2 linked regions of the Arabidopsis thaliana genome follow. The protein of the gene in region 2 interacts with the protein of the main gene of each other region in a pairwise test. Each region holds a gene or a part of one and is shown on either strand. Other genes may lie near its edges. The genes, in order: LTA2 and LPD1.

The links.
Region 1: the proteins of LPD1 (region 2) and LTA2 interact in a two-hybrid assay, tested with the Arabidopsis thaliana proteins (2 studies listed by BioGRID, with this or other methods).

What each region holds. Positions count from the first base shown.
Region 1 is NC_003074.8:9,457,840-9,465,453, reverse strand, and holds LTA2 (2-oxoacid dehydrogenases acyltransferase family protein), read right to left. Parts: upstream 5,022-7,614; 5' UTR 4,823-5,021; coding exon 3,920-4,822; intron 3,836-3,919; coding exon 3,644-3,835; intron 3,522-3,643; coding exon 3,434-3,521; intron 3,347-3,433; coding exon 3,276-3,346; intron 3,194-3,275; coding exon 3,110-3,193; intron 2,974-3,109; coding exon 2,869-2,973; 3' UTR 2,441-2,868; downstream 1-2,440. Other genes in the region: AT3G25870 (uncharacterized protein), read left to right, coding at 1,277-1,789; AT3G25855 (Copper transport protein family), read left to right, coding at 5,187-5,198, 5,284-5,368, 5,605-5,846; AT3G25850 (Cysteine/Histidine-rich C1 domain family protein), read left to right, coding at 6,500-7,276. UniProt on the Arabidopsis thaliana protein: The pyruvate dehydrogenase complex catalyzes the overall conversion of pyruvate to acetyl-CoA and CO(2).
Region 2 is NC_003074.8:5,784,827-5,793,927, forward strand, and holds LPD1 (lipoamide dehydrogenase 1), read right to left. Parts: upstream 5,700-9,101; 5' UTR 5,558-5,699; coding exon 5,234-5,557; intron 5,145-5,233; coding exon 4,998-5,144; intron 4,858-4,997; coding exon 4,723-4,857; intron 4,606-4,722; coding exon 4,500-4,605; intron 4,415-4,499; coding exon 4,290-4,414; intron 4,044-4,289; coding exon 3,918-4,043; intron 3,820-3,917; coding exon 3,739-3,819; intron 3,364-3,738; coding exon 3,301-3,363; intron 3,198-3,300; coding exon 3,123-3,197; intron 3,043-3,122; coding exon 2,964-3,042; intron 2,862-2,963; coding exon 2,761-2,861; intron 2,656-2,760; coding exon 2,542-2,655; intron 2,465-2,541; coding exon 2,351-2,464; intron 2,182-2,350; coding exon 2,110-2,181; intron 1,986-2,109; coding exon 1,959-1,985; coding exon of another isoform or gene 1,935-1,958; exon of another isoform or gene 1,865-1,934; coding exon 1,682-1,864; 3' UTR 1,559-1,681; downstream 1-1,558. Other genes in the region: AT3G16940 (calmodulin-binding transcription activator), read left to right, coding at 1-552, 734-1,027, 1,130-1,159; AT3G16960 (plant self-incompatibility protein S1 family protein), read right to left, coding at 6,986-7,119, 7,228-7,438; AT3G16970 (Plant self-incompatibility protein S1 family), read right to left, coding at 8,842-9,101.

The sequences.
Region 1 (7,614 bases), 3.7 Mb from region 2:
GGTCTCATTAATAATTTCCACGAGTTTTTTTTTTTTTTGTTGATTTTTACATGTACATATATAGCTTCTCCATCCATGGTTCTCATAGCTCAACCACATAAAGATTGGTATAAGAATGTCTAGTTCACCAATGCAACATCTGAATACTCATTTTTCATATGGCTAACTGATCACTTTGCTCGACAGTCCCAAGTCCCAGTTATGATTAGCTATACGTACCTTTTCACTATCAGATACGTATTTATTTTTTCCAGATTAAATAAATTTTCCATTTAACAAAAAAAGAAAGATAAAATAACATGATGTCTCAATAGAAAAACCTTTAGTGCTAGGGAATTATAAAATCTGTCTTTAATCGAAATAAATAACATTTGTTCTATAATCAATTAGATTTGGCAATGATACTTAAGAATGGTGGGCCGGCGTAATTTATGGTGGGAAGTTTTGTGTACTTGATTTTGCTTTATGTACTCACGTGATGTGTTGTACAAAATTCTACATGTTCTTTGTTTTCACTCATCCTCAAGATTTCTATTATCGTAACGTTTCCTTCTTTTTATTCTTTCTTCCTTATATGCCTTGTAATATTGTTACAAATAACAATGTAACGTCTTCTACTCTCTTTTTTTTTAATACATATTTTTGGTTATGTATATTTCACTTATTTGTTGTCGGCTTGATTTAAAACAAAACAAAAACAAAACCATTTAGATGTGTTTGGTAATGATTTTAAATGCTGTAATTTGGATTTTAAAGTAACGTCTTTTTTTTTTTTTTTTTGGGTAAGGCAACAACAACGTAACGTCTTGTACTCTCTAATTATACAACACTTTTGTTTTTAATTATACAACTTTTTTGATGAACACAAAAAACCTAACTGACCGAGCATGTGTCCTGCAACGTACGTACCGAATTTTAAACCAATTAATAATAACGTTCAGAAATTAGAAAACGACATTTGAAATCCCAAAAAATATAAAACCAAATAAAAATAAAAACCAGAAAAAAAAAGAACTAGGAAAAAAAAAAGTGAAAGATCTGTGATGCCCAAACTATTCGTTATACACGCGCCAAAGTCTGCGTCTGAAATCACTCGCTTTCTCTTTCGTTACCGACTTTTATATCTGCTTCTCTTTATATCTTCTCTCCACTATAAAATCTCGTGTTTCCCCTTCTTCCGATTCTGTACCCATATCTCACGCTTAATTACAGTATTGCCACTCATTAAAACCGTACCATCTTAACCAAAGCGATAACCCGTACCACCGGTTCAGCTATGGAGGATTTATTGGAGGAGAGGCTAACTCGGACTGACTCTGTCGGGAATAAACGAGTCAGAGACGGGTTAGACCTCGACTCGCCGGACGTGAAGCGGTTAAGAGATGATTTGTTCGATGACTCGGGGCTTGACCCAGTGAGTCAAGATCTTGACTCGGTGATGAAGAGTTTCGAGAATGAGTTATCGACAACGACGGCGGCGCTAAGCTCCGGTGAAACTCAGCCGGATCTTGGATACCTTTTCGAAGCTTCTGATGACGAGCTGGGTTTGCCACCGCCGCTTACGCCACCGCAAACGCTTCTTCCTCCGTCGTGTGAGGAAACGGTGACGGAATTGGTACGAGCCTCGTCGGATTCATCAGAGGTTGGAGAGTTATGTGGGTTTGAGGATCATGTTACGGAGTTCGGACCTTGCGATCTTGGTGATGATGGGCTTTTCGAATATTTCGATGGGTGTTTAGATTCCGGCGATTTGTTTTCATGGCGGCCGGAGTTTTTACCGGCGGAGTAACAACATACCGGACCTTTTTAAAAAAGCGGGCTACGAACGGTGACGTTTTGTTAAGCGTTTTGCCTCGCTTTTTCTTTTTTCTTTTTTTTCCCTCTATTATTGGATAATAGGTATTAGGATCTATATATTTTGTTAAGTTATTAGGATTAGAAAAATCAAAATGTTTTTAGTAGGAGTAAGTGGTTTAGATTAGTTTGTAAGAACTTTTTTCTCTTCAGGAACTGTTAATCTTTAATCGCCTTTATCATTTCGTTAGCTTTTGTGTTAATGTTACAATCTTATATGATCATGGATGTATTCGGTATTCCAGAGATCAGAATTATTAAAAAGATTTTCATATCAGAATCTGAAATTATTGTTGATTACAAAAAGGTTCTAGACTTCCACCATTGCAATCCATATATATATATTTACTAAAAGTTTTTGCTAACTTATTCCTTTCCAAAAATACAATAAATTTAAACATGATTGATGTTAAAAAAAAAAAATTTAAACATGATTTAAATCATATTGTATACAACAAAATAAATAATAAAATGGTTAGTAAAAATTTAAAACACGAAATGAAAAAGGGATATTCACCCAAACAAGTTGAGTTTTGAAACAACAATGGTAATTCAATCTCTGATTAGTCCTTCTTTAGTTCTTTACAAGAATTGGGCTTGTGGTATGTTGGATTTCAGCCCTAATTGATATATGTCTAATTTTCAAATCCAAATAATGTTCGTTCTACTAAGTAAATTGAGATCTAAGCAATAGATTGCTTGGCTTGGGCACAATCTTTAAGGCCGTGCCCAAAAAAAATACAGACACAACAGATATGCCCTCAGATAATAGGCCGTGTCTAGTAACTCTCTTTTCTTAAGGCCGGTGGGCTGATTCTGGATAGGAAATTATTTGTTTAAAACCCAAAATGATGATTCTTGAAAACAAAAATACAGATACAACACAAGTGAAGAAAAAGATGCAAAAGAAGTAGAGCAAGACCAAGAACAATGAAGATTAAAAAATTTACTTGGGAAAAATTTGGCTCAGGAATTTTGGAAACTGTTTTTGACTTCTCGTCTTCGCTTGGCGTCTTATAAGGTCAAACTATCTGGATTCTCAATGATCTTTGCAAAGGTTTGGAGAAAAGCAGCCAAGTCAGCTCCATACACAATGCGATGATCTGCAGTCACATTCACCTGCCAACATAACAACAAAGCGACAATGTTACTGTTAGCATAGCCAAAAGCTATAGCTAATCGTATTTTAAACTTTCTAAGTCGAAGTGATTCACCAAACCCATCAGGAAGTTTATTAAGTCAAAATAAAACTTACCAGCATTGTGTTTTTTACACTGAAGAATCCATCCTTATCAGCAACTACAGTTGGCTTTGACGCTCCAACAGCCATAATAGCACCCTAGAGATTTGAGTATAACAATTAAGTAAATTCCTTGTAATCACTATTCATAGAAGAGGCAATGAAAGTTTCTTTCATATACCTGTCCTGGCGGAAGAATAGCGTCAAATCTATCCACTCCAAACATACCGAGATTCGATAAAGTAAAAGTTCCTGCATTCCATAGATATATCCCTTAAATCAAAATCCTTAAACACACTTCACATGTTTGTCATCTAAACAATTCGTTAAGAATAGTACCAGAGTTGTATTCATGGGGTTGAAGTTGCTTGCTTCTAGCTTTCCCCACCAGCTCTTTCCATTTTTGAGATAACAAGTACAAATCCAACTATCAAAACAACCAACACGACTCACACATTCAGTTAAAGAAACCAGCCTAATAATACCAAGTGTGTGTGTTAATTCACTCACACGCTAGCTATTTTCTACAACTTTATTGCTTATGCTTACCTTATCTGCATCTTGTAGAACAGGCGTAATCAGGCCACCATTGATAGCAACCGCCACTGCAATGTTAATGCTACTATTGTAACTAAAACTCTTCCCGTCTTTGCAGCTAGCGTTCACCACAGGATGCTGAGCCAAGGCCATCCCTGCAGCTTTAGCTAATAAAGCTGTCATTGTTACACCCTTTGGCTTCACCTGTAAACAAAAGCAGTGATTTAACATCAGCTTCATCATTCAATACAACATCAGCTTCATCTGTTTCATTCAATTCAATTTCACCTTCTCGTAAAGTGCATCAAGAGCGTCAGTGTTCACAGGATAACCAACACGGAATGTAGGAACAGAGAGACTCTCAATCATGTTCTTAGATACTGCAGATTGCATTGCTGTGAAAGGAACAATGCTTGAATCAGGTAACAGAGGAGGCAAATTAGTGGTGGTTGCTTTAGCCGTCACCGGAGGTGGAGGAGGAGGCGGTGGTGCGATGGAGGATTTGGACGGAGCAATTCCAGCCGCCGTCTCCACATCAGAAGCCGTAATCCTACCGAATGGTCCAGTTCCAGCAACGGATTCAATATCAACCTTGTGTTGTTTAGCAAGCTTCTTAGCATACGGCGTCGCAACAGTCTTCCTCGGACCATCTGATACTGCCGTCACCGGAGCCGGTTGAGCAATCGCCGGAGCAGGAGAAGAAGTAACCGGAGGAGGAGATGGAACGACAGCCTCAGCCACAGAAGAAGAAGATTTCGAAGCGGCTTTACTCTTAGCTTCTTCGATCTCAGCTTCAGTCTCAGCTAACAATCCAATCGCAGCACCAACCGGAGCTGTTTCACCTTCTCCGACGACAATCGCAGCAAGATAACCATCGTAAAACGTTTCTACATCCATATCGGCTTTATCAGATTCAACAACCACAACACTCTCTCCCTTGGCGAGTTTCTCGCCTTCTGTTTTGATCCATGACACGATTTTGCCTTCCGTCATGGTTGATGATAACGCCGGCATGAAAATTTCACGAATCTTAGATCGGACCGTCATTGAACGACGGTGAGAAGTCGCCGGAGTCGTGGAGCGGAAAACGACGCTGCGGAGGGATGGGGATACTGAGGAAGCGAATGAAATGTTGGATTTGGAATTGGTTAGTGAAGCTGTCGATAGAAACGAAGAAGAAGAAACCGCCATTGTTGAATCACAGAGAGAGAGAGATCTGAGAGAGAGTTTAGAGAGAGTGAAGTGGACGGAGAAGACGAGGTTGAAGTTCGTTGAGCGTCTTCGCCTACATTTGTATCAGTTACCAGTTTAATAACCGGATATATAATTAAACCGGATTAATTTATCTGAAACTTCGGTTTAGGTTAAACCATCTAGAAACAAAGAAAATTTAGATGCTTCTCAATGGATATTAGGTAACATAACAAAACCAGTTTTCTTATATATCTTCTCTGCTCTACCTAAGTTAGAGAATCAGATTCCAAAATCTTAATTTATAAGTATACTTTTGTTTTCTTAACCAAAAACATATCATACAATATTGCTCTTTCGTCTCATGTCGGAAAAGGTTTTGTGTTTTCTTTTATTTGTTTGAACAATAATTTTCTTGGATTTGTGATAATTTTTTTTTTTTTTGGGGTGGTGAAATGCAGAAGCAATGTTGTGTTGTGATGAGGATTAACTTGGATTGCAATGCTTGTTGTAGAAAAGCTAGGAGGATTATCATCAATATGAAAGGTTGGTTTATATTGGTTATATAAAATAATATGTGGATGAAATGAGCAAAGAAGGATGTTATGAAAATAAGATTTAAAGTTCAAGGAGGATTTTTTGAGTGGAAAATCTGAAAATTTTAGAAAGACATCGTTAAATTTTATCGATGTTACTATATGCACCATTTTATGTAGGTTTAGTCGTGGTGGATTTATAGAAAATTCAATACTAACACATGTTTTGGATACTTTTTTATGAAGAAGTTGATACACACATGATCAACAAAAAGGAACGTCAAGTAATCCTTTGCGGACGGTTTCGACCATCCGATGTTGCATTAAAACTGCAAAGGAAGATGAAACGGAGGGTTGAGATTCTCGAAGTTGAAGATCTCACCAATGGCCATGGAGGAGAAGAAGGAAGCGAGCACGAGCTACCGTATGAACAGCCACATGAATATTCTAATCAACCTGATCAGATGACCACACCATTGTTGTGTTAGATATCTCTAATTCGTTTGTTCTTCTATCCTCCAATGCCTAAACATTTGTGAGAACTATTAGAAGAAACAATGGCATATAATGACCAACACGTTTGTTTGTATGTACAAATATATAGAAAACTCTGTAGCGCAGTGCGGATGATCACCTAGTATATATAAAAGTTGATATATATTCAATGCATTACATTGTCTCAAAACAATTAATTATACGAGCGGATATGGGACTAGAAACCCGAGACGAATACGGTAAAGACAAGGTCTCGTTCCGAAATGGACATATATCTAAAATTTTGTTTGGTAATTGGGAAAAACGAAACCCAAACTATTGTTTAGAACATTTGGGAGAGCCGAGTATATAAACCTTTTACAATACACATCATTATTGAAATCTTAGCTTTCTGAAATTCTAAATGTGAGTTGGTTACCACAACTAAAATAACAGCCCAATTTTACTCATATTTTTAAATGGAGGGGAAGACTTCAACAACACAAGTGAACAACAAAAATGCCTACGACTATCAATGACAATGAGGATCACTAATGAAGAGGCCTTACAAGAGAAATATTCAAGTGAAGCTTTCTTCTTTCTTTTCTTTTCTTTTTTTGATTGAAATTTATGCTTTCTAGATTCACCCAATCCCCACACACTCACCATGACCGAAAAGAAGTTTCCTTTTCACGATCATCCTTTAGCATATGAGAAATTGGACAGATTTTCTTGCATTTTGTGCAAAAAGAAAGGTGGTTTTGGCTATTTCTGCGATAAGTGCTATTTTTGGGGGCATAAGGAATGCATCAAGCGCTCACTTCTGCATCCATCTCCATGCAAACATTCTCTCAAAATCTACACACTCGAGGCATTGGGCTATGCAGGTGACCATTGTCATTTTTGTAGAGATTATCTTCTTGATGATTTTTTTCATTGTTTGATATGCAACATCAACATGGATCTCAAATGTCTTAAAGATCCACCACCATCAAGTATTTATCACCCAAAAAACCATATGCATATGCTTACTCTTTTGCCGAGAGTGGTCACATTTACTTGTAATGCATGTAGCGTAGAAGGTAAGCGTAATCCTTATGTATGTCTTGAATGTAATTTGATGTTCCACAAGGATTGTATATATCTACCACGAGTTATAAGCATCAACTGCCATGATCATCGCATTTCTCGCATTTTTCATCTTGGTCTCGGAGATTGGAAATGTGGAATCTGCCGACAAAAGATTAGTTGCTCCCATGGAGCTTTTACATGCTTGCGTTGTCCTAGTCTTGCATTTCATTTAAAATGTGCGATGAAAGATGACGTGTGGGATGGAAAAGAATTCGAAGCTGAACCCAAAGAAGAGCTTGAAGATGAACTCGAAGATGATTCCGAAAAGGAAATTGAAGATGATAGTTCTGAAGAAGAAATCGAAGAACCATAAAACTAATGAAAAATAAATATTGGCGTGTATGTTATGAGAAATTCATTTTAAAGCTTGATGCGGATTCTGTTAGTGACAAACTGACAATGTGGTGCAACGATTGTGTCCAACAATGATCCATTCTTTTTGTATACATAATGTTTGACTCTTGACCAAACGAAGAACCCTGAAGTCTAAAATTTTGTCTATGACTCGTCATTAGTAATTCTAGAGTTAATGGAACATGACCACATTAGCCTAACACATGATTAAAGGGGCCAAACTCATTTTTAAAAGATTTTGAAATAAATTATTACAATTACAAAAGAAAATTAATTTATTGAAAAAATTGTATATAA
Region 2 (9,101 bases):
AGGGAGAAAATGGTGGCTGCTCTTCTCTCTGCTGGGGCAAGACCGAACCTGGTGACAGACTCGACGAAGGATAATCTTGGTGGATGCATGGCAGCTGATTTGGCACAGCAAAACGGATATGACGGTTTAGCTGCTTATCTTGCTGAGAAATGTTTGGTTGCTCAGTTTAGAGACATGAAAATTGCTGGAAACATCACTGGCGATCTGGAGGCTTGCAAGGCAGAGATGTTGAACCAAGGCACTCTACCGGAAGATGAGCAGAGTCTCAAGGATGCTCTTGCAGCATACAGAACAGCTGCAGAAGCAGCGGCTCGGATTCAAGGTGCGTTTAGGGAAAAAGCGCTAAAGGCAGCACGGTCAAGCGTGATTCAGTTTGCTAACAAAGAAGAAGAGGCCAAGAGCATAATCGCGGCGATGAAGATTCAGAATGCGTTCCGGAAATATGATACACGTAGGAAGATAGAAGCCGCTTACCGGATTCAATGCAGGTTCCAAACTTGGAAAATACGAAGAGAGTATCTGAACATGCGGCGCCAAGCAATTAGGATCCAGGTATGAAGTGAACCACACAAGATTCAGCAGCCAAGATTATAAGTTTGCTCTGAACTTGGCTATTCATAATCATCACTTTTGTCTAAATTCCACAAACTATAGGAGACTGAAAGTTCACACCTTTATCATATCGTCTGTCTGAATTTTGCAACACATGAGTGTATTTCCTCCTATTTTGCAGGCTGCTTTCAGGGGATTACAAGCAAGGAGGCAGTACAAGAAGATATTGTGGTCGGTAGGAGTATTGGAGAAGGCAGTTTTGAGGTGGAGACAAAAGAGAAAAGGGTTTAGAGGACTCCAGGTTGCAGCAGAGGAGGATTCTCCTGGTGAGGCACAGGAAGATTTCTACAAGACAAGCCAGAGACAAGCAGAGGAGAGGCTCGAGAGATCTGTAGTGCGAGTACAAGCCATGTTCAGGTCTAAGAAGGCTCAACAGGATTACAGAAGGATGAAACTCACTCATGAAGAAGCTCAGGTGAATCATCTGACATTTTTGAATCTCAGTTTTGGAAAAAAAAACTCTAACCGGAGATAAGTTCATACTTGAATTAACGAGTCTTGTTATGGTGTGACACAGTTGGAGTACGGTTGCCTGGAAGATATTTGATACATCAAAATGGCTATGGAGAGGTGAGTCAAAGAGAGTTTGGTGTTGATTGTTAAACATGGATGGTAATTGATCTGTAAATTATGTGAATGGGAAAGGCTACTCTCGATCTTTCTGCAACTGGTTTAGAATAAAGTATACATAACGAGACCTAATCTCTGTTGTATGAAAAAGAGAGACAGAATTAACAAATAGGTATTGTAGTTATTTGTCTATTTCTGTAACTGGGTTCCTATGTGACTTTGGTGTAATCTAGACTTGTATATTTGTAGAATAAAATTGCAAGTAACCAGAGAAATATCTTATGAACATTTGTACATTAAACTAGGTTCATCTTGTTTGTTTGTTTGACAAAAAAAAAAACTAGGTTCATCTGTCACTTCACGTCTGAATCTGATTGATAATAATGGACAGACAAGTGATTTTACTAGTAAAAAGAGAAGAATCATCCAAAATCGTTCACATCAAACAAACATACAATAACCAAAACCACAATCTCCACTAATTGAAACCATGGAACAATTAAACAAATATAAGTGAAAGCAGAGACAAGACTCCAACAGAAATATTCTCAAAGAAAGAAGAAGGCCTTGTAGATATATCTTTCAAGTCTTTACTTACGGAAGGTTGTTTCTCATCATCTCCTCCTCTTCTTCTTCCTTTTCGATCTTCCTGGTTCGTGTTTAGCTTTATCTTTGCATCTCCCTAAAGTACAATCACAAATTTTCTTTCTTCAAGATGTTTCTCCCCACCCCAATAAGTTTTTGGTTTCTTATTATACAACCACTTTTTCACTTACTGTCCTTGTCGTAGCATGACTTTCAACCTGAAAAATTGAACTTATAGTGTAAGATTCTTTTGCTTTTTAGTAGAGGACTTAAATCTATTGATTGCAGTTAAGAATAAAGGGGCTCTCTGATCAATGGCATGAGGAGACTGTTTTGCTTTACCTTGGCTGCTTTGAACAGTTCGTCGAGGACCTCAGAGAGTGTTGGATGTGCATGAACTGCCAATTTTATGTCCTGCAGAGATACCATTAAAACATGCAGGGGATCAAGAAACAGATACAAATAATGCGTTTAGTAGTTTCAGCAGGAACTATGTATATGACTTGATTTCGCTGTAGGATATTATCAATATCAAAGGCTACGAGCTAGATTCAATAGTAATCACTAATCAATGAAATCCTACCTGAATACGCGTTCCTAGAGCAATCGCATTAGAAGCTTCATGGATAAGGTCAGCTGCATGCAGTCCAAATATATGAACTCCTAAGATTTCACCATTGTCAGGTCGGTATATCATCTGCATAATGAAAAGCAATGAGATCTCTATGTTCTTTCATGAGACATAAATAAATCAACAACTTTTGCTTCTCCCACCTTAGCTATTCCTTCTCCTTCATTTTCAGCTAGGGCCTTTGTGTTAGCCTTGAAACTTGTCTTGACAACACTAACTTTAAATCCTTCCTTCTCGCCTTTTTCTTTTGCTTGAGGCTAGCAATAATGTCAAAACATAAGGAGTTACAGTAAGCATATTTTGCTCATAGCATTCTTCTTTTTGACCCTCTTCTGTACACAAGTACTAGGATATAAAACTACCTCTGTTAATCCCACCATGCTGATTTCAGGATGAGTAAAGCAAGCAGCTGGGATGCTAAGATGATTAAGCACATGATCTCTGCCGCTGACTTGCTCGACCACTAGCCACAGAGTAAGAGCTCAGAGTTTAATACAAGGCTCAAGAAGAAAAAAGGGAAAATATTATTGCATTGTTAGTAGCCTCCTACTGATAAGCCATTTACCAGAAATTCCTTGGGCACTGGCTGCATGTGCAAGCATCAATTTACCATTGGCATCACCAATGCAGTACAAGTTCGGAACCTATCACAAGTAGAAATGAATTTAGCATATAGAAAGAATTGCTGACAAGGAAAAGGTATGTATATGCAAATAAAACCGACCAGAGTCCCCTTTCCATCGATCACACGCATTCGCTCATCAACTGGTATGAAACCTCTCTGCGTCACAACATTGACCTGCATTGAGATGACAGCTTCAAGGTTAATTTTCTGACAACTAAACATTCTCTGGTAACCAAAATGACAATACTAAAAGGTGGGATTTAGTGTCATTTCATACATTTTCCAAGCCAAGTCCATTGGTGAATGGAGCTCTCCCAGTAGCAATAAGAGCAGCATCTACCTGGAGAAGGAAAACAAAATTACACTTTCAGCGCAGAAAATCACATGGTACAATGAAAAGAAACCAAAAGACATGACTATTTATATTCTATCTTGAGACGAAAGGCCACAATAAATTCAGAAAATGAGAAGCTTTACTAATCCACCTATGCATAATGTGTATACTTACATTTCTGTGGGAAGAGTAACAATGTGGTTAATACTGCAGCGAAAAGCAAAAAAGTGAAAAACAAGACTTCTAAGGACCCACTACCAACGGCACAAATCTTCCCAATTCAGGCATGAGACATCAGATCATGTTAAGGACCCAGTAACTGTTAAATATTCTCTTTGTGAGACATCAGATCATGTTATCTTTTAAATTCCATTTGGTTACCTCCAAAGTATCCTTAGGTTCCTTGGTTTTGGCATCAATAAGCTCAATCAGAACTGGTTTCCCATCCCTTGCCGGAGTAATCTGAATAAGAATAGATTTAAGTTTAACAGATGAATACATGGACACACTGTATAGAGAAAGAGAAGCAGTATTTGCAATGCATGATATAACAGGCTCACTTTGCTTGCAAAGACTCCAGTATGATAGTCAATCTTTCTTGGATTTATCAAAACCCTCTGAGCTAGCTTACTGATCTCAGGATCAAATCCAGGCATTAGCTGATCCAGTGCTTCTATAAAAGTTACCTGCACAAAAGGTTTCCGTTTTCGATCAGTAACTACAATTTAAATCGAAAAACCAACAGATTGGTACCTTAAAATCTTATTTTCTACTATTTACACAAAAACAAGCTCAATACAGGAAGAGACCAAACAAAGAACTAGAAAATTGGAGAACATTGCTAATTGCAGTTATTACAATCTCAAGTACAAGGACACAACATCACAAAGTCGTACTAAAGTAATATCATTAGTACAGAAACATCATGTTACCTCACTTCCAAGAGCTGTGTAAACATCACTGAACTCAAGACCAATATAACCACTTCCTACAATTGCAATCCACTCAGGGACAGACTCTAATTTCAAAGCATGGTCACTGGTGATCACAGTCTTTCCTGCAGCGCCAAAATGTAAACATTCAAGGAATAATCAAGTCTGCATGCTCCCTTAACAACTCTACGTCCAAAACAAGAAACGTACCATCAACTTCAATTCCTTTAGGGACAAACGGCACAGATCCAGTGGCAATGATTATATCTTTTGCAGTAATAATATTGTCCTTCCCATATTTAACCTTTTGTGGACCCTGCAGAAATACAAAATATTGATATGAGTTAGGATCATCGTTTAAGAAAAGTTTGTATCATGTTCCTGTCTACAGTTAGTAAACGTGAAAGAATAGAACGTACTACTGAGTACTGACCAGAACACTGCCAAATCCAGTCAATATGTCAACACCAATTGCCTTCATTGAATTGGTCAGATTGTTTCGTATTTTGGTAGCCAGATTATTAGCATGATCTGCCACACCCTGACGATCATATCCAGCAGCTGAAACCTGTTTCCCAAAGGAAAACCAAAAACCATAAGATAGTGAAAGGTAATGAGTAATTCCTGAACTAGCTCGATCTTCTACAACCATTTCACACCAAAGACAAAGCTTGCAACTTTAAACAGAGAACATGAGTTGATATTTACCTGGAGACCAAAGGACTTCATGTGATGTTCGTTCTGAAGTTCCCGCATTCGACCACTAACAGCAAGAAGAGCTTTAGAAGGCACACATCCTCTGTTAACACAAGTCCCTCCAACAACATCTCCTTCAATAATGGCTGTTTTAAGTCCCTAACACAAACAAAATCACCAATGTTTCCATAATAAGCAGAGCAAATCTTTTACTTTCATCAAATCAGGTTATATAAGAAACTTCAAACCTTTTCAACGGCGTGCAAAGCAGCTCCGTGGCCACCAACTCCAGCTCCGATGATGATCAAATCGTAATCGAAAGATTTCGGTGGAGCGCCATTACCATTACTTGAAGCAGAAGCGGAGACTTGGAATGACTTCCTACTTAGAAATTGGATTCGGTTACTGCGAATAGCCAACTGATTCGACGTTGAGAAACCAAACGCTTCCCGCCGGAGTCCGCAGAACCGGAGACTTCTGGGCGTAGAGAAAACAGAACCAGATGATCCGAGCACGTGGTTTGGTCTTGTAAACGACGTCTGGGAGAACGAAAGCGCCATAGCTGATTGCATTCTAAGAGACACAGACAGAGAGAGAGAAAACGAGGAAGACGCAGCTGACAAATCTACCGGCGGAGACAGAGTGAGTGTAAATAGCCAACAAACGGAGGCGGAGTTTTCAAAGCCCGCTTTGTTTGTTTGTTTTGTTTTGTTTAACCACTTTTTTTTGTACACGAGGCATTTACGACTTTTCTTTCATTTTTTCTAACCTGGTTTAAGTCTTAAAAAGCCCATTGGGTCAATAGACCTCGTAGCCCATTTTTGGCTGTGAATATATATTTAAATTAATTTTTGGATTTTGTAACAAACTTAAAAACAAATCGCTTAAAAAACTAGTTTCTCTAGATTTTAGGAACTTTTTGGATAGTGAAGTTGATTTTCAAAATTAAAATGCTTTATGAAATACCTCGTAGCCACTTCACGCTCATAAGATCGTGTAATTTGTTTCATTAGGGTTATGTTATTACTTGCTCGACAGTTCTAGTAGTGAATTAAAAGTAGCCAGCAAGATGTTGATTTCGATGAAGAATGTGGAACTCGCATGGGAACTCATTAACCACTACTGCCAAGAAGGCTCGCTGCAGCGTCGTCCAATCAACGAATTCTTTGACTTTACAAAATATAGCCGTGGTAATTTATATAATCCATCACCTGAAAAACAAGCAAGGTAATTAATTATATCTATGCATAAATATTCATGAAACAAATTGCTTGCTTTTTTCCTTAATGGTTTTTAATTTTATTTTTCATGTTGTCCTGGTGCAGCCGTGGGCCGAGGTTGACGCATATTGGAAATTACCTTCTTTAGTTAAGGACATGTATGTATGATAAGGAAGGGACAATCTTACATGGACTTTTCCCTGAGATTTGACGTGCATGGTTGTTACACGATCGTTCTATGCTTCTATGGCGTTTTGAAGAAAGGTAAATTATATAAAACAGTTCACAACTTCAAGTACGTTTTCGTAATTTTTTGCTTTGTATTCACCAACCAGTAATGGACGAATTCTGGAGCACAAAAGCGAGGACGACCACCCTATTTTAGTTGTTGGTCTAGTGAAACGTAGATCAGATTTTGTTGAAGCCAGCGCCGCGCAATATCTTTTGGTGCTAGCAACTCATCTTGAGACTTGAGTTACTTTTTTTTGGAGTGTATTTCTGCTCTAAAAATGGTGTAGATCCTCTTGCTCAAGTAGCCAAAGAAGCATGATAAAGTCATTTGGTAAATGGTAACATGTTTATGATCATTATGCTTAAATTCTCTGTGTTTCAAGAAAATGCAATTGTGTTAACTTGATTTTTTCTATATTAACTTCGGTATATACCGAATAAAAGGCTCCAAAAAATCGATTTTAAAGATCAAATGTTTTATTTTATTTTATTAATTTATTTGTTAGATAAATAAAGGTAGCTACACAGAGCAGTAATGTTAAAAAAAATTCAAATATTTTGAGAATCCCAAGGAGGACAAAGATCAAACATTCCAGTCTTTTTGTTCAGTTTGCAAGGTCCTTCTTCACGTATCTTCCATTCGCATCTTTTGCATCCAAACATTGCAGATTCTTGGTCTCTTTCTTGTATGTATATACGGAAATAACGAAACACTAGTCTCCAAGCAAAAGTGCAAATGAATTTAGTATCTCCAGAAACACTGGGTGTAAATTCAAATGATCACGATCCACCAGCTAGCATACGTCGGAGTCCAAAATCAACGTCTTTTGATGCACAATGGTATGCCATTGGCCAATAACCTGAAAGAGCGTTATGTATCACCACTGTTGTATTTGGGTTCTCAACACTTGGTGGTGAAGCCATGGGGTTTTGAGCGAGGGACATTGTTACACTTGCACACATAACGATAATGAGAGCTACAAGTTCTGCTAGAGCACCCATGTTGTTTTTGTTTTTTGTTTTCCTTGCAATATGAAAGTATATTGAATATGGACTCTTTCCACTTAGTACTTTATTGTATTTATAATACCAAACTTTATTGATTATGTTTCCCTAACAAGCTTCTTTGTTTTGTTGACTCAGTTACATAGGTTATATGTTTTGAATAATATGAGTCAAAGTAAAACTTAATTAGGTATAAAAGGAAATCTCATCTTGGTAAAAAGACAGCTATATCTTATTATATAAAGTATGGATTTCAAAGTTGCTAACTCATATAATTGTTACACATGTCAAGTCAAACGATCAGATGTTTACATGTGTCATTCAAAATTTAACTTTTTTATTCTCTAAAAAAAATTGAAAATTTTAAAAAGTAAACAAATTTACATATACTAATTTATACGTCTATATATTTATAAACAATTAACATTTATTCAACAAAAGGAAAATTAACAAATTTGTCTTTAACTCATCTAATCATAAGTGAAAAATATAACATTTTGAGAAAAATAGCTTAGCTTATAGGATTTAACTTTTCAATTATTTTCATTTATTAATTTTAACTCATTTAATATTAATTTGCATGATGTAAAATTAACTTACGAGATTACGGCATATACAAAAAATATATTTTCAACAATGTTTGGTTTCTAAATATTTTTGTGGATTGTTTTTTTTAATTAATTATTAGCCCTATGCGTTTGGGTATTCGGGTCGGGTATTTCGGGTTCGGGTTTTCGGGTTTAGAAGTTTAGGACCCGTTCGGGTAATTTAAGATTTTGGGTCGGGTTCGGTTTGGGTTCGGGTTTGGGTTCGAGTTTATTTATATATTGAAATATGAAATTTTGTGTGCAAATTTATTAAATTACTTGAAAATTTCAAAAATTCCCAAAACAACACGAGTAGTTTTGCTTGAATATATCTAAAAATACACAAAAATCACTAAAATATCCAAAAAAATCCTAATATTTTTTATATATAAGTATAAATATAACTAATATATACTTATATTTGAGATATGTTTGGATACCTATTCGGGTTCGGGTTCAAATTTTTCGGGTTTTGAAGTTTAGACCCGTTCGAGTATTTGAAAATTTCGGGTACACCCGCCTAAATAGGCGGGCCTAGTAATATATGTAGTCAATAATCTATTTATAACTTAGGTATATAAGGAAAGCTATATATTTCTCACCATTAAAGTCACATATTAATTTTGGTAAATATAAAGCTATATATAGTCAATAAAAATTATATATTGAAGGAAATCTCATCACGATTATATAATTGGTCTTGAGTCAGTTAAATAACCGTACCTCTTAACTAACAGTATTTTCATCTAAACATGAAATACTAATTTTTATTTTTATTAGAAAAATAGAAGTAGACATACATGCTAATTATTTTTAAAGCGATTGAGAATTCCAAGGAAGACAAACATCAAACATATTACTGTTCTTGTTCAATTTGCAAGGTCCATCTTTGCGTATCTTCCATTCGCATCTTCTACATCCAAACTCGGCGAATTCTCTGTCTCTACTCTGTTTGTAGATATCGAACCAATGCAACTCCTTATCCCATATAAAACCGCAAAAAAACAAAGTTCCTCCAAAAACACTCGGTCTAAATTCAAATGACCAAGTTCCATTTACCGCCATATTCCGGT